Linked DNA regions of Macaca fascicularis. The protein of the gene in region 3 purifies or fractionates together with the protein of the main gene of each other region. This does not show direct contact. Links are inferred from orthologs where the notes say so. Each region holds a gene or a part of one and is shown on either strand. Other genes may lie near its edges.

Region 1 (6,328 bases), on a different chromosome or scaffold from region 3:
TGTGCCTGTAATCCCAGCTACTTGGGAGGCTGAGACAGGAGAATCCCTTGACCCAAGGAGTCAGAGGTTGTGGTGAGCCGAGCTTGTGCCACTGTACTCCAGCCTGGAAACAGAGCAAGACTCCATTTCAAAAAAAAAAAAAAAAAAAAGATGTGAGTACTCTCTATAATGAGCACTGCAGGAAGCACTTCCACTTATGTTGTCTTATCTACAACTTTCTGAAGGAGTTAGTATTATCACCATTTTTTTACAAACTGATTTTACAAACCATTTTATAAACTGATTCATTGTAGGGGTTATAAACACTGTGTACATGTGGCCGGGTGTGGTGGCTCACGCCTGTCATCCCAGCACTTTGGGAAGCCGAGGTGGACGGATCACCTGAGGCCAGGAGTTTGAGACCAGCCTGGCCACCATGGCGAAACCCATCTCTACTAAAAATGCAAAAAATTATCCAGGCATGGTGGCAGGCACCTGTAATCCCAGCTGCTTGGGAGGTTGGGGCAGGAGAATTGCTTGAACCCTTGAGGTGGAGGCTGTAGTGAGCCGAGATTGCGCCATTGCACTCCAGCCTGGGCAACAAGAGCGAAACTCTGTCTCAAAAAAAAAAAAAAATCCCAAAAAATACCCCCACTGTACATGTTTGCTCATAACTATTAGATTAGGGATTTGGACTCAAGTGTCTTATCTTCAAACCGCAGCTACCACAATAACGTACCAACAATAAGGTGATTATAATTCCAATTGTTTAAAACTAAGATTATTCCAGAATGAAAGTTTTCTTTTCTCTTTAAATCTACTCTCTGGGTTCATGTTTACTGTAGGTTAATATTCTTGTAAAGATATGTTTAATAAAGTTTTTGTTTTTTGTCACTTTTATTGCCTTCTGGCATATTTGTACAAGGTCTTTTGATAAGGGCCTAATTTTTGCATATCCATAGATCAAATCCTATTTAGAAGCTAATACTTGAAAAATGGGATACATCATCTATTACATAGTTGCCAAAGATCCAGTGTAATCATATTAAGATAAGCAGTTGATGGTAATGTTTTAAAAAGTATTATAAAATATCATGGGAAAGACATGGATGACCACCTTATATATCCCAGATGCTGTTATAGGTGCTTTCTGTACTTCCTTACTACTTCACCAACCAATGGTAATTTCTCAGTTCTAACCAGTAAACTGGCCAGGAAAAATAAGAAAATAAAATAGGTGTTACACAACTGTTGAAGAAGAGATCAAACATCATTATTTGCAGAAAATACTGGTTTACCTGGGGAACCCAAGAAAATACTTTGAAAAATGATTAGAACTCCTGGGTTTAGCATATTAGCATATTTGTCTAAAAATTGAATGATGTTGAAAGATATACACATCATTTTGCATTCCTTCTTTCTCTAGCTTGCTGAATGAGATGGTGAGGTCCTCTGGAACATAGATTCCATTTTGGTTGATACTTGGTCTGTAGTATTGAGCACATTGGGACACAAAGGTTTTTGGAATGAATTAATTGATATTACTCAGCTGTTATATTAAGGGACTGTTGCCGGGCGCGGTGGCCCGCGCCTGTAATCCCAGCACTTTGGGAGGCCGAGGTGGGCAGATCACGAGGTCAGGAGATCAAGAGCATCTTGGCTAACATGGTGAAACCCCGTCTCTACTAAAAATACAAAAAATTAGCCAGGCATGGTGGTGGGTGCCTGTAGTCCTAGCTACTCGGGAGGCTGAGGCAGGAGAATGGCATGGACCTGGGAGGTGGAGCTTTGCAGTGAGCTGAGATCCGGCCACCGCATTCCAGCCTGTGCAACAGAGCGAGATTCTGTCTCAAAAAAAAAAAAAAAGACTATAGACTATTCAAAATACTACCTCAGAGCTTGTGTAGATTTCAAAAATTACAATTTGAGTGTTAGCCATTAAATTGAAAGTGTTCTATAAACTTAGTCTTTTTCATCTGGGCGGATGGTGTGATACTCATGCTGGTAATTCATCTTGTCTTAAAATGTTGTACAATTTATATATTTAAGAAATGAAATCTTAACATATTTAAATGATTCAAGTTTGAGTTAAGTCTGTTATTCTAACATTGTGTATTAATGTAATTTCTAGAACATCAAAATTAGCTGCTTGTGTAACTTTTTTTTATTGTGTATTTTTGATGTATAGTATAAATAGTATATATGAGTTTCACAAGATTTTAATACTTATTTTACAAAACCGTTTTTGATATTTCATATGTGAAGCGCTTTTACAGATAACTTTATAAAAATCCTGTTGTTAAAGAAAGATTGATAGTCATTAGTTAAGCCTCATCAGTTCAACTTTTTTGTGACTTTTGCAGTTACCCAAGCAAAATATGTTTGCTTCTACGGGGCCAAACTGCCCTCTGTATAACCTCAACCAAAGTCATCAGCCAGTGTTTTACTTCAATACCTTTGCTGTATATAAATGAGTAATGAGGCATTTTGTTATTCCAGATTCGTAAACAACAGAAAGAACACGCTGAATTGATTGAAGATTATCGGATCAAACAGCAGCAACAGCAGCAGCAATGTGCGATGGCCCCACCTACCATGATGCCCAGTGTCCAGCCCCAGCCACCCCTAATTCCAGGTGCCACTCCACCCACCATGAGCCAACCCTCCTTTCCCATGGTGCCACAGCAGCTTCAGCACCAGCACCAGCAGCACACAACAGTTATTTCTGGCCATACTAGCCCTGTTAGAATGCCTAATTTACCTGGGTGGCAGCCCAACAGTGCTCCTGCCCACCTGCCCCTCAATCCTCCTAGAATTCAACCCCCAGTTGCCCAGTTACCAATAAAAACTTGTACACCAGCCCCAGGGACAGTCTCAAATGCAAATCCACAGAGTGGACCACCACCTCGGGTAGAATTTGATGACAACAATCCCTTTAGTGAAAGTTTTCAAGAACGGGAACGTAAGGAACGTTTACGAGAACAGCAAGAGAGACAACGGATCCAACTCATGCAAGAGGTAGATAGACAAAGAGCTTTGCAGCAGAGGATGGAAATGGAGCAGCATGGCATGGTGGGCTCTGAGATAAGTAGTAGTAGGACATCTGTGTCCCAGATTCCCTTCTACAGTTCTGACTTACCTTGCGATTTTATGCAACCTCCAAGACCCCTTCAGCAGTCTCCACAACACCAACAGCAAATGGGACAGGTTTTACAGCAACAGAATATACAACAAGGATCGATTAATTCACCCTCCACCCAAACTTTCATGCAGACTAATGAGCGAAGGCAGGTAGGACCTCCTTCATTTGTTCCTGATTCACCATCAATCCCTGTTGGAAGCCCAAATTTTTCTTCTGTTAAGCAGGGACATGGAAGTCTTTCTGGGACCAGCTTCCAACAGTCTCCAGTGAGGCCTTCTTTTACACCTGCTTTACCAGCAGCACCTCCAGTAGCTAATAGCAGTCTCCCATGTGGCCAAGATTCTACTATAACCCATGGACACAGTTATCCGGCATCAACCCAATCGCTTATTCAGTTGTATTCTGATATAATCCCAGAGGAAAAAGGGAAAAAGAAAAGAACAAGAAAAAAGAAAAGAGATGATGATGCAGAATCCACCAAGGCTCCATCAACTCCCCATTCAGATATAACTGCTCCACCGACTCCAAGCATCTCAGAAACTACCTCTACTCCTGCAGTGAGCACACCCAGTGAGCTTCCTCAACAGGCCGACCAAGAGTCGGTGGAACGAGTCGGCCCATCCACTCCCAGTATGGCAGCAGGCCAGCTATGTACAGAAGTAGAGAACAAACTGCCCAATAGTGATTTCTCTCAAGCAACTCCAAATCAACAGACTTATGCAAATTCAGAAGTAGATAAGCTCTCCATGGAAACCCCTGCCAAAACAGAAGAGATAAAACTGGAAAAGCCTGAGACAGAGTCATGCCCGGGCCAAGAGGAGCCTAAATTGGAGGAACAGAGTGGTAGTAAGGTAGAAGGAAATGCTGTAGCCTGTCCTGTCTCCTCAGCACAGAGTCCTCCCCATTCTGTTGGGGCCCCTGCTGCCAAAGGAGACTCAGGGAATGAACTTCTGAAACACTTATTGAAAAATAAAAAGTCATCTTCTCTTTTAAATCAAAAACCTGAGGGCAATATTTGTTCAGAAGATGACTGTACGAAGGATAATAAACTAGTTGAGAAGCAGAACCCAGCTGAAGGACTGGTAAGTGTAAATGATAAAAATGACAACTTTTTTCTTTTGTTTTAAATTATACTTACAGCAGATTAGTACCAACAACTATATTTCCACATTATTCTACAACCTTTTTATTCTAAAGGACCATTTCTTATTTTATCATTTCTACCTCTCTGGAACCCATGTTTTTACTTATATCTAAACTATATTAAATAATTTGTTTACTGTTTTTTAAAAGGCAAAGGCATGTATTGCATTTCATATGTAATGTGATGTGTAGCAACTGGTTGATATGACTAAAGCAAAGTAAGTAAATGTCTATGTACTTTATTGTAAATAAGTGATTAATTTCCATTCACCTCTTTAAAATACGGAGGATAGCCCGTGCACTCCTATGAATACCCTTGGCACTCTTCGGGATACCACACTGGGAACCTGTTGTGTTACAGTGTTGCATTGATACTTAACGTAATGTTACATGTGGATGCTATTTTGTAGTTTTCCATGTATCAATTTTCTATCAGTTTTAAGTTATTAACATTGAATTTGCTTTTTCTTTCTTTTATATGAAGAGCTAAGTCGTAAATATACCTTTACAAGAATCCCTCCCCTTTATTTCAGTTAACTTCATTAAGATATTTCCAAAACTGGAGTTTCTGAGTCATGGGAATTGGTCTGTTTAATAGCTCTTGCCTTTTGTATCTTTCAGAAGGTACAGCGCCATTACCAGTGCATTCATAAAGCTGTCCCTAGAGAGCTTCTCAAATTGGATTTTATTTTCATATTTTAATTAAGGGTGGAGTGTATATTTAGTTGTCCAGTTTTTTCGTTTTAAGATTGTTAATGAAGCTCATCTTTTTGCAAGTGTTGCTCTTTCTCTTGCCTTTGACCATTCAGTAAAGATTGAGTGTTGACTTGGTAGACCTGTGTAATTATTGTAAATTTTAGCGGTTATGCTTTTACAGTTATTTGTCACCAGTAAATACAGCCAACTCTCCAGCACAGTCTCCATCCGCTTTCTCTAAGACATCTTATACCCGGAGGAGTATCGAATAACTTGCAGTCTTCTGTCTTTTTACCCTTCTATGTATACCACATGCTGCTGCTTCTGCCTCTTCTGTTCTCCTTTCTTATATATGTCTGGCCAATATATTTTTATCTTTTAAAACGCAGTTCTTGAATCATCTTTTTCCAGATACCTTTCTCACCTCTTCCAATCTCAAATATGTGTTGATGCCCATGTTCTCACATAGCAGTTTCTGTTGTACCATTTAACATTATTTAAATAGCTCCTTGAAGGATGTAGACTACATTTTGAGCATGTTTATATTAAAATTCGTGCTGTATAAGAATGTGTAATGCTATGGGGAACAACCACATGTCAAGTTTAAAAATGTAGGCCCCCCCTAATTAAAGTGTGATTTAAATAAATAAGTATATATGTATGTATATAGTTATTTAAGTCTATATATACACATATATAATTAAGAAATTTTTAGGTTCTTGCCCCTCAAAGTGCAGTCCTTGGGGATCCGCAGCATCCACATCGGGTGGGAGCTTTGTAACATGCAGAGTCTCCCACCACAGACCTGCTTCTCAGAACGTGAGACTTAGCAAGATCCCCAGGTGACTCCTGTGCATCTGAAGGTGGAGAAGTATTGCTGTAGGCCGGTGATTCTCAAAGCTAAAGTGTGAGGATCACTATCAGGGCTTGTTAAACCAAGATTGCTGGGCCCCAGCATTTCTGATTCTGTTGGTGTGGGTGGGACCCGATAATCTGCATTTCTAAACCAGTTCTAGATGCTGCTTCTGCCCTGGAGACTCCCCTTGAGAGCCACAGAACTAGCCTGGAGATGAGTAGTCTGAGCCTGCTTTCGTCTCCCTCCATGAGCTAAGAATGGCTTTTACATTTTTAAATGGTTGAAAAAAAATCTAAGGAAGAGTAGTATTTTGTGACACATAAAAATTACACAAAATTCAGACGTGTCCGTGAATTTTAAAAGTTTTATTTGAACACAGCCAAGCTCATTTTTGTATGAATTGTTTATAGCTGCTTTTGAAGTACAAGGACAGAGTTGAGTAATTATGCCAGGGGCTATATGGCCTACAAAGGCTTACAGTATTTACCATCTGGCTCTTTACATAAAAATGT
Region 2 (6,328 bases), on a different chromosome or scaffold from region 3:
AAAATGTACATGTGGCGGTTTTATAGTATGTCTGCAAATTACTGTATACTCCCCTAGTCTTAAATATGGTCTAGACTTAGTCATTGAATATGGTGGAATTGACAGTGTGAGTCTCCTGTAACTTATATTTTCTCTTTCGTATGATTTTCTTAATAACATAATAACATTTTCTTTTATTTAGCTTACTTTATTGTAAGAATATGGTAATACATATACAAAATATGCATTAATTGACTGTTTATCACTGAGGCTTCTGGTTAACACCAGGCTATTAGTAATTCTGGCTTTGGGGAGTCAAAAGTGATGTATAGATCTCTGACTGCATGGGGATCAGCACCCCTAGGCTCCACACTGTTCAGGGGTCAGCCGTACATGTCTCTCCTGAATCCACCAGTGTTTTTGTTTGCTTGCTCCTCCAGGAAGTCTCTCTTCCGGTCCCAGGTCTAGTTCTCTCTACACCTACTTTCTCATCTATTAGCGTTTCCCTTCACCTCCATCCTAGGAACTCTCTTGTCATCTCTGAGTCAAACGCCTCATTTCCTGGCTACCAGGTCTCACTCTCTGCTGGCATAGTGGCTTCCTAAGGAAGAATATAACGGAGGTACATTTTCGACCATTAGTGTACAAATATCCTCCTTCCATAGTCTTAGGACTGACAGGCTCTATAGGTTATTTTAGGTTGGAAATTATTTTCCCTCAAAAATGGAAGAAGCTGCTCCGTTGCTGGCCCCCGCGCACTGGACTGGAGGCTCCCGAAATCGCCCTGACTCCTGATCTGTCCACGTTTCCCCTCCAGTGAGCTTGTCTTTGAGAGAAAACAGTTTTCTCTACCAGCATTGTGAACGTTCCCAGTTGCCTTATCACGGCTCTCCTTATATTTCTTTTCTATCTGAGGGCACATGGCCTTCAGCTGCAAAGGTATTTTCTTTCATAACGTTCTTGCCTTCATTTTCTCTGTTCCCGAGCTCCTATTTAATGTTAGACCTCTTGGATAAATCCTTAACTTGAAAACAAGACAAAAAACCCAAACTTTCCTCCACTAACTTTGGTATCTTTGAGTTTTGTCGTACTTCTCAAGACAGTTTCTCAGTGCTGCCTTCAAACACTTCTGACTTTTAAAAAATCTCTGCTGCTGTCCTTCTCAGAACTGCCCCCTTCCTCCCTCCCCCTAGCACATGCCATCCGCCTCTTTCCTCAGCCAACCACAGTCATCTCTCTGGTCACCTTCAGATTCAACCCTTTACTACTTGAAATGCACAGCTGATCACTTCACCTGCATCTAAACTCCACCACATGGCGCATCAACAAGGTCTTGGAAGACATGCCAGCCCTGGCTCCTGCCCCAACCCCTGCCTTGTGGATCCCACTGAGGCACCGTCCTTTGCACCCTCCTGTCAGTTTCCCCAATCACATGCCTTTGGCTGTGCTACACCATTTGGAAAATCCTCCCCTCTAATTCTCACTCCTACTCATCCTATAATAAGCAGTTCAGGAATCACCTCTCCCAGTAGTCTTTTCTTTTCTTTTTTTTTTTTTTTTGAGACGGAGTCTGGCTTTGTTGCCCAGGCTGGAGTGCAGTGGCCGGATCTCAGCTCACTGCAAGCCCCGCCTCCCAGGTTCACGCCATTCTCCTGCCTCAGCCTCCCGAGTAGCTGGGAGTACAGGCGCCCGCCACCTCGCCCGGCTAATTTTTTTTGTATTTTTAGTAGAGACGGGGTTTCACCATGTTAGCCAGGATGGTCTCAATCTCCTGACCTCATGATCCGCCCGTCTCGGCCTCCCAAAGTGCTGGGATTACAGGCTTGAGCCACCGCGCCCGGCCCCAGTAGTCTTTTCTTAACACATCACCCCACAACATGATGGGTGAAGGTCCTTTCTCAGGCTCTCACAACAGCCTGCATCTGCCACCCTGCCTCTGCTTAGCTGTGTGGCTGCCTCTCGCACTGCTCTTTGGTTTTCTCCGTCTGTGATTTCCCACATATTCCCTAGGTCTTGCAGCACGCTTGGCACACAGGTGGGGTTTAAGCACTAGAGATGTTTATAGTGAAGCACGTTCAAGATATATGAGAGGCACATTTAAACTCAGTTTTTATAAAAAAAATTTTTTTTGACTCAGTTTTGTTTTGGGGAATGCAAGAAAAAGTATTTCTTTTCTTTAAAGGCCACCATGCAAAATAATAAATAATTAAATTAACTCCAGTTTCACAATTGGGCTGGAAGAAGTTGAGGTCCTAGAGATTCTGGGATTTTCTAACAGTTACCTCTAGAGAAAGAGAAATGACTGAGATCCACACAAATTAATGGTCCCTCTCCCAGGACACCAAAAACCTGAACTTATTCCCATCGTCCCCATTATACACATATAATTAGTGCCCCTTGGAATTTCCAAGCTGAAAAAATAAGAAGTCTACCATCTTCATCTAACAGCTGAGAAAACTGATGCCCAGAAAAGTGCTGTGCCTGAGGCCACAGGGAATGTTAGTCAAAATGCCCATCACACATTTATAACACATGCAGGTGCAGCTCAGTGAATGCAGCTCAGTGAATGCAGCTCAGTGAACATAGTTACATCTACATAAGAAAGAAGCATCTTCAGATACAGTCGTCCTTCCTCCAGGCACAATCTCACCCTTTTCCAGGTGGCCAGCAGTTGCTTATCAGACATCTGCTCTGGATAATCCGCAATTGCAAACACACATCCCAATAAGAAGCCTTCTTCTGGAACTAGAGTAAAATTATACAAGAAAAAGAAAATTAAAACCCTATGAATATGCTTGCACAAAAGTTAAACAGTGGTGCCTTGCAACGTGATTCTGTTATGTTAATCAGTCTTGACCATGACATATCTACCAGTAATCAGAGTGCATGGGGAATATTGCTACAAAGATACTAGTTATCTGTCTACATCAAATAATCATTAAAAACTGAAACCAACGTAACTCATGCCTGGCCATTAAATACCCTGAAGGAGTCCCTGTGGCAGCCTAGGTGTTCTACGGGACACCAATATTCACTTCAGCATATGATGTCCCAAAGTACAAAAGAAAGCATAATTATCCCATGGTAACGATATTCTTTGTTAGGTATGAGACTCACACTCTCCATGTTGTAATAATTGTGTTGACATGAATCCTTACCCCACACTCAAACACTCTCAAAGCATTTATGTGAGTACAAGACTTTTAGGAGAGAGGGAAAAAAAAAAAATCTCCATTACTAACTCTCCACTGCTGGATCATGTCCAAAAAGCTGATGATGCTGAGGTGGTGGTGGTGGTGGCTGCTGTTGCTGCTGCTGCTGCGGGGGCTGCTGAGGTGGAACCTGATGCTGCAGCGCCTGTGACGTCTGACTCAAGTGTGGCGCCGTCTGGCTTTGCATCTGCTGCTGCTGGTGCATGCGCTGGAGCTGCTGCTGCTGGAGCTGCTGCTGCTGAATCTGCTGTTGCTGCTGCTGCTGCTGCTGGAGCAGGCTGTGTTGCTGCTGGAGCTGGGCGAGCTGCTGCTGCTGGAGCTGGTGCTGCTGCAGCTGATGGAACTGCTGCTGCAAGGCATGCTGCTGCTGAAAGGGCTGGAGCTGCTGCTGAGGGCGATGCAGCTGCTGTGGAGGATGCAACTGTTGCTGTGGAAACTGTAGCTGCTGCTGTGAAAACTGATGCGGATGGGCTTGCTGCTGCTGCTGCTGTTGCTGTGAAAACGGATGTGGTGGCTGCTGGGGGTAAGGTTGCTGAGAAATCTGCTGCTGCTGCTGCTGCTGCTGCTGGAGCTGCATTATCTGCTGGGGCTGAAGGTGTAAAACCGGGTGCTGTTGCTGCTGCTGCTGCTGGGCCTGCTGCTGCTGCTGTAGCATGTGTGTCTCTGGAGTCACTTTCACTTGGCTAAACAGCACTGCATTGGCATTTGTATGTCCCTGCTGGCTGTGATTCACCTGCTGTTCTAAATTTTTCGTAGGTGCTGAAAGCGTCTGTAAGATCTACAAAACAAGTTGGGTGAAACATTATCAGTCGTTCCTGAAACAGACGGATGATAATTTCTTAGTCATGAGAATAATAGCATCCTATTTATTAACAATATTCAACCAAGCAGACACAGCAAATGACTGGAAACTTCAAAATAATACTGCATTTTCTTTTGTATTTATTTTGTAACACCAATATCATAAAGTACATTCACATATTGAGACCACCAAAATTTGAAACTACGTTAGTAAAATGGAGTAAACTAACGAATTAAAGTGACAAAGACTCAGACGGCTGATGTGCTTGCCAGAGCAAGGCGTGTGAGTCCTGTGCACAAGTGGAGGCTAAGCCTCGGTGCTCCCTGCACTGTCCGCAGCGCCTCTCCACTGCCCATCGCCCACATCAGCTCCGCAGACCCTCTCCTGGCCCAGGAATGCACTGAGGAATGACAGGTGGTGAAAGCATCTGGTAATCAGGTTCAGCTTCACCTCAAACCTTCTCGCCACAGCTGCCACTTCCCATTTCCTCTTGTCTTACAGCCCAGAGTCTAGTAAAGAAAGGTTCTCAGTGAATCACCTTCCTGATGAAAGCAGCATGACCTAAGCTGTGACTCCAAGAGCCCTTCGCTCCACTGTCAACTTGCTATGTACACTGGCATTCTTCAGAAAAGGAGGCCAGCTAAGACACCACCAGAGCTGTTTCAATGGTGATGTTTCTCCCAACTAAGAACTCATCATTAGAGTTGGGAAATGATGCTTCCTCAAAAATGACTGAGTTCTTCATGTGGGACAAAAATATTTCAAGCTAGAAAAAAAGAATTCAAACCAGACTCTTTGTTTTCTAGCTCTTTCTGCTTCACAATGACAGGGAATAGGCTGAGAGTTCTGCGTACACTGAGGAGTAGGAGAAGGACGGTGACCAGCAGATGCCCACCAAGAAGAGCAAGTTATTTTTTTAATATCCTGTAGTGTACTGAATACAACAAAAGATACATGTTATACAATGAATTTTGTTCCACATGCTCAAGCAACAAAAATTTGAAACCAACTTCTTATGGTCATGGAAATCAGTAAAAATAGATTTTACTAAACTCAATCCATATAACTTTTAACCCTAATAAAAGCATTTAAAATGTAAACAAAATTCTAGGAATTTGATTTTAACACATATCAGAACTATAACAAAATCTCAAACATATTCTAACATGTATCTTTCACTTAAACAGACTCCAAATTGCAAAGGTTATATGACCTGCAAGGGTAACAGATTTTGGGTTTAGTGATAAATAATTGTGTTTAGAATTGAAATAAGTCAAAATCAAGAGCTTAGGTACAACCATCTTTAGAATCACCTTATGTATGAAACATCTCTATGAGATTCAAGACTTCAGAAACACCTGAGTGGAACTCTAAGCAGAAAAATGTCTTTTAAACAAAATAATAAGACAACTGTTTCATCTCCATATTTAAAAGTATTTTTAAAAATCCAGAAAAGAAGAGGGGAAAATTCACCCCATCACATGCCATCCCCCGGAGCCCAGCAGCATTTGGTGCTGTGCGAACACCCCCTAGAGAAGCATGCATGTGTGGGGCACCTGCTTGCCTGGTGGGCACCAGCCATGAGCCCTACACGGCAAACTGCTGGAAATAGCAGCTGCCTCTTGAGAAGGTAAACAGCAATGAGGGGTGGGAGGGGGCGGACAGTTTAACTGTTCACTCTGTCCTTTGGTATCATTTGAATTTTTGAATTTTGTACACATATTACTTTTTTACCCTCATATGTAAACAGCCCATGGAACTCTGAGGGATAGTAAAGAAATAAATGCCCATCTGCAGGTGGACAGGGCTGAACCAGTCATTCACCACATGCTGCTCCCCGCGCCTCTACACCTGCCAACTCCAGGAGAAAGGGAGCTCAGGACCTAGACAAACACAGCAGCAGACATCAGGACAGAACAGAGGCCAGAGGCTCCTGTTTTTCAGATTGGCCACGAGGACTCAGCAGGGTCTGCTGCCTGCAGAAAGTGCTCCATCTGATCTCAGAGGGCTGAGGGAGGCCTGGGTGGGACAGGAGCTGTTTCTACTACAGGCTTCAGTTAAGATGGGTCCTCGTCCACTGCTAACCCAGCCCATTAAGGGAGAAGAACAGATGGAGATTCAGGATGAGAGTCCCGGCTAGAAATGAAGACAGCCATTGGCCTGGAACCTTTTCCACTTGAGGCAGCGAGAGGTGCAGGCCTGACTGAAGAGGAGGCATCTGCAAGACCAGCCATCGAGATGCCACCCAAAACCCCTACCACATTCATCTGATCACTTTTTCAACCATCTGATCTGCCTCTGGCTGGAAACACGTTAGTCCTGAAGAACGTATGAA
Region 3 (5,501 bases):
AGTAATTAATATTGTATTCAATTTTGTTACTTAGCCATTATATTAAAATTCAGTGTGATAATAACAATATTTCACTGCAAATTAACCTTAAAAGTATCTACTACATAGTCATTTTTGTGGTAGATCTTCAACAAATGATAATCAGCAAATTTAGTCTGAGATTTTAAACTGGGAACAATCTAGATGTACACAAATGCCAATAAACTGAATGTTTGGTATAACTCTAGGCAGATCGATTATCAGTCCTCTCTGGTGCAATTCACAATATATTTGTCAATATTGTGTGGCCAAGGCTTGCAAGAGGTGTAGGAACAAAGATGTGGCGCCTGCTATGAAGGAGCTTAAATTCTACTTGGAGCAGAGAGATTATAAACAACTAATTGTAATGTACATGAGACTATGATGAATGTGAAGTTGGACTTAATGATAACACTGAGGGGGAAAATGACCTGATTTTTTTCTTCTAGTATTGGCATAAGAATTCACAAAAGTATTAGCATTTGAGTCCGTCCTTGAAAAAAGAGTATGATATCAGTAGGCTAAAAAAGTGATGAGAATCGGAAGTAGACTGTCATGGGCTATAGGAACAAGAAGAGAACGGGGAAATGGAAAGGTTTTAGAAAAGGTTGAATGTGTTCCAATTTGGCTGGAACACAGACTGTGCAAATTCCACTCGTAAGTCTAGGTGGCATGTAATTTGTAGCACATCTTGAATGGTTTTAAGGAATTTGATAATCCAAGGTCACTGAAGCCATTAAAAGGTTTTGAGCAAGCAGCTAAGGGTGAGATATGTGTTTCAGGGAGAAAAGTGGTTGGAAAGGACAGTGATATATAAGCTATTGCAGTGGTCTTAAGAGTTGTTATTTTAAGGCCTAGACTAGAACCTGGCAATGGGAATATTAAAGAAGGGAAAGAATTAAAAAATATTTAGAGGGTAAAATCAGTGAGACACCTCATTAAATGGCAGAAGTAGAAGGACAAGTTGAATGCTCACCAATTTTCTAGCTCAGGTCACTAGGTTTGTATTGCTGCCTGTTGACAGTAATGGATAACATGGTGAACTCTAGGATTGTCGTTTACTGTTAAAAGAAGACATGAGATCGTAAGAGTTTTCTGTCATTGAAGAAATTTAAGGATAAGCCAAAGACAGGTTGTTGATGGTTCATTTCAAACCTTGAAATTCTGTAATTCTAACATCAACCTGTATTTGAAATGATTGAATCCATTGATTTTTTTTTTTTAATGTTGTATGACCTGACCAAAGTAAGTCATTAGGAGATCAGATAGATTCCAGTTAGATGCGATGTTCCTTATCCTACCTGAACCCTAGCAACTCATCAATCTTTCTGTATAAGACAGAGGTATTATTTCTAAAATCATGCTGTACTCATGAATACATAAAAATGATCACTTACATCTGATTGTATGCTAATGTTTTAGATTTAAAAATAGGTTGACCTTTATCAAACTTTTGAACTGGGTTCAATGACATGAGTATGTCATTCCCTTTGATTATTCCCCTAACTATGCATTACTACCCATGTCTTTGGATTTGGTGCAAAATAAACCTGGTCTGTTAAAGAGTCTCAAACACAGCCATGTTTTTCTTACCACCTACTCTTAACCAGAGATCACTGTCCACAATTTCATTCAAGTAGAATTCCATGATTATACTAAAGCAGTACAGTGAATACCACCATCTCTATTGAATACGTTTTTCTCTTGTATAAAACAGGTGGAGGTTTTTGATTTGCTTTTTGTCACTAATGAGAGTAATTCACGAAAGACCTACATAGTACATTGCCAAGATTGTGCACGAAAAACAAGCGGAAACCTGGAAAACTTTGTGGTGCTAGAACAGTACAAAATGGAGGACCTGATGCAAGTCTATGACCAATTTACATTAGTAAGTCAAATCAACATGTGAGTACATAGTTAGCTGGGTTATGAAGCAGCAGTGTTTGTTCTGCCACCTGATAAGTAGGAGGTAATGAAATATTTTAAATTTCCCTTTGGCTCATTACATATTGCATGAGGGTGTATTCATATCATTCCCCCCTCCATTTCCAAGTATTTATTCCTATAAAATTGGCATATATCATTTTCAGTTTTCTTCCTGGGTAAGACCAGCCTAAATAATTTTACAACAATTACATTTAAAAATCTTCACGTGCTTTAGATGGAACACTATCATATCCTTTATGTCATTTTATCTCAGTTGATAAGTTGATAAAATGTTTGTGTACGTAGGTTATTAGAGCCCACAAAATGAATCAGTAAATGTGCTTTTAAATATACTTCTGCTTTTAGAGCTAATTGTATTTGTTTAAAATTTTGTCCTTGCCAGAAGTATTAACCTCATGGGAATATTTAATGGAGCTTAACTTCCTGGTATGTTATATAACCTTATGAAATTCAAGTATACTTATAAATTGCACACAGTTTTTAATTTCAGACAGCAGATGCTTGGGGGAAGCATTTTACTTTAGCAGATCAATAGCTTTATGAATAGAAACAGAGATAATTTATGAATTGTTGATTTTCTCCAGTACTTGTCTCCCACACATATGTGATCAGAAACTAACTTTTTGAAATTTAGTTTCTGATATTTTCACTTGAATAGTCTTCAAGATTGCTTGAAGAAGAAAATTATCTGGACTATGTTGAAGAAAATATATTACCTAGCTGAGATAGATTCTGAAGACAGTCACTAGTGAAATTGTAACTTGTTAAATTATTTTTCAAGAAGCCCCCCTTTTTTTAAGCAATCTTAAGAAACGGTAAACTTAATAACATTCCAAGAGTTTTTGACTAATTGGTGAAGAAATATAGAAAATTGCAAGTACGCTGAGTAGGATAATGGTCTTAGACTCTTAGGAAAATTGGCTGAATGGGAGATAGTAAGGTAGGTTGTACTTTTATGTTGTGTAGCAGGCTGGTGAACTTTTTGAGAGTTATTTCCCCTGACTTCATAAGCAGACTATATGTTTGTAGCCATGAGCTATTAACAATTTGTATATCAAAATAACCTACCTTACTTTTATTTTCAGGCTCCTCCATTACCATCCGCCTCATCTTGATATTGTTCCATGGACATTAAATGAGACCTTTTCTGCTATTCAGGAAATAACCCACTTCTGCACCACTGGTTTTTGTAGCTATCTCGTAAGGCTGCTGGCTGAAAACTGTGTCTATGCAACCTTCCAAGTGCGGAGTGTCAACCAGCTGGACGGGAGAGAGTACTGTTCCTACTCCAGGACTCTCACAAAGCTCATCAGCTGTACTTCACAAAAAAATAATAATTTCCATGTTTTGTATATATCTGACAAAACTGGCAACATCTTACAGACTACTGACTTGAAGACAACCTCTTTTATATTTCTCTATTTCTGGGCTGATGAATTTGTTTTCATCTGTCTTTTCCCCCTTCAGAATTTTCCTTGGAAAAAAAATACTAGCCTAGCTGGTCATTTCTTTGTAAGGTAGTTAGCAATTTTAAGTCTTTCTTTGGTCAACTTTTTTTTAATGTGAAAAGTTAGGTAAGACACTTTTTTACTGCTTTTATGTTTTTCTGTCTTGTTTTGAGACCATAATGGTTACACTTTTGGTTCCTAAATAAAACATTAAAAAAATTAACAGCCAAGTCACAAAGGTAATGGATTGCACATAGACTAAGGAATAAACTTCAGATTTGTGATTTTTGTTTCTAATCTTGATGTAAATTTACACTATTTATAAATACATATTTATTGCTTGAAAATATTTGTGAATGGAATGCTGTTATTTTTTCCAGATTTACCTGCCATTGAAATTTTAAGGAGTTCTGTAATTTCAAACACTACTCCTATTACATTTTCTATGTGTAAATAAAACTGCTTAGCATTGTACAGAAACTTTTATTAAAATTGTTTAATGTTTAAAGAGTTTTCTATTGTTTGAGTTTTAAAAAGACTTTATGTACAGTGCCCAGTTTTTGTTCATTTTTGAAATCTGATTATATATATTTTATATATACTTATGTATGTATATATAATATATATAGAAATCTGGATATATATGTATAAATATTTAGAACTTAAATTTTTCTCGTTTTAAGTTTCACATCTATGGTAGATTTTTGAGGTGTCTACTGTAAAGTATTGCTTACAAAAAGTATGATTATTTTTAAAGAAATATATATGGTATGTATCCTCAAGACCTAAAATGTCAGACTGGTTTATTGTTAAGTTGCAATTACTGCAATGACAGACCAATAAACAATTGCTGCCAAAATGTAGTATAATAGTAGAAAACAAATAGTGATTGAACTTAAGATTTTAAAAGGAATGTTATATGGGCTTGACAAATCCTGTACATGACTTAGTAACATTTTATATGGAAAAGGGGATTCAGGATGAAGGGCTCTATTTTAGAATGAAAATAAATTAAGAGACTTATTTTTTAATGTTAGGCAATTTTGAAATCTCATGCTTTTTTGCTTGCATGACATGATTTGGGGGAGGAGTGCTGCAAATTCCCCATCACTAGTAAAATATAGCAATCTATATTAGCGTTCACAAGTCACTGCTAATTAATGATAGTATTTCATTTTGTAATAACAGCACCTTGCATTTGTACCTCCATTTTCTGAAGCATTTGACACATACTCTCATTTAATCATATTGTTCTTTGTATGAATTTTCCAGGAAGCATTAGTGAAGAAGCATAGAGAATAGAGAATGCTGTAAATCAAGATTATATAGATATGGCTAAAGAGAGCTTATTCTATTTCTAGTGAAATGCCCTGCTGATTGCATTAATCACATACTCTTTCAGATTTAGAGTATGTTGTCCTCTTAGAAACAGTTTGAAGGTTGAAAGCATGGAGATACTTTTTTCGACTAGTTAATAATTTGGTAAATATTGGCTATCTACTAGAAGTAATCATCTCTTAATTATAATTTCAGAAGGAAAGAATTCCAAATCTATTTTAATTATGGAGCAAGAATGCTTGTCTAAATGCTATTCAGGACATTTAATCACTAATATTTTTAAGTGGTTTTCTTGTAAAATCTCCTATCCAAAGGTTATTGAGAATAACTCAAGACGAACATTTTTGCAAACGAAAATTGCAAGCCAACCATCAAGAAGCAAAGATTATAAGAATGCTGAACCACTACCTAAATGTTTCTTAACCTGTTCTAGTTTATCTTACTGACACTGTCTTATTTTCTATGATTTTAAGATAGTTTATTGCCAAGATTAATTTATCTGACATTTAAGAGAATAAGTTATCTGACATTTAGATAAATTATCTGACATTTAAGAGAAATTTAGTATAATTCATATTTGGATTCTATGTCAAGAATAATACTTATTCAGGAACCTAGTCTTGGGTAGAGGATTGGGAGTAAAAATCAAACACATCAACATTACTCTGAAATACAATTAGATAATTGAAATCACAAACTGCTTTTTTATCTTCAATTGAACATCCTTTATAATTGCATTTTTAAGATTTT

What was found. Proteins that work in one complex are often made in the same cells at the same time.
Region 1: the proteins of KDM6A (region 3) and KMT2C purify together in Homo sapiens (affinity purification with mass spectrometry; 3 studies listed by BioGRID and IntAct, with this or other methods). This does not show direct contact. The link is inferred for Macaca fascicularis from reciprocal best matches to the Homo sapiens genes KDM6A and KMT2C.
Region 2: the proteins of KDM6A (region 3) and PAXIP1 purify together in Homo sapiens (affinity purification with mass spectrometry; 6 studies listed by BioGRID and IntAct, with this or other methods). This does not show direct contact. The link is inferred for Macaca fascicularis from reciprocal best matches to the Homo sapiens genes KDM6A and PAXIP1.

The regions. Positions count from the first base shown.
Region 1 is NC_088377.1:193,418,351-193,424,678, reverse strand, and holds part of KMT2C (histone-lysine N-methyltransferase 2C), read left to right. Parts: intron 1-2,478; coding exon 2,479-4,203; intron 4,204-6,328. UniProt on the Homo sapiens protein: Histone methyltransferase that catalyzes methyl group transfer from S-adenosyl-L-methionine to the epsilon-amino group of 'Lys-4' of histone H3 (H3K4).
Region 2 is NC_088377.1:196,267,198-196,273,525, forward strand, and holds part of PAXIP1 (PAX-interacting protein 1), read right to left. Parts: intron 3,970-6,328; coding exon 3,222-3,969; intron 2,725-3,221; coding exon 2,630-2,724; intron 1-2,629.
Region 3 is NC_088395.1:45,164,448-45,169,948, forward strand, and holds the end of KDM6A (lysine-specific demethylase 6A), read left to right. Parts: intron 1-1,735; coding exon 1,736-1,906; intron 1,907-3,050; coding exon 3,051-3,080; 3' UTR 3,081-3,921; downstream 3,922-5,501. UniProt on the Homo sapiens protein: Histone demethylase that specifically demethylates 'Lys-27' of histone H3, thereby playing a central role in histone code. Demethylates trimethylated and dimethylated but not monomethylated H3 'Lys-27'.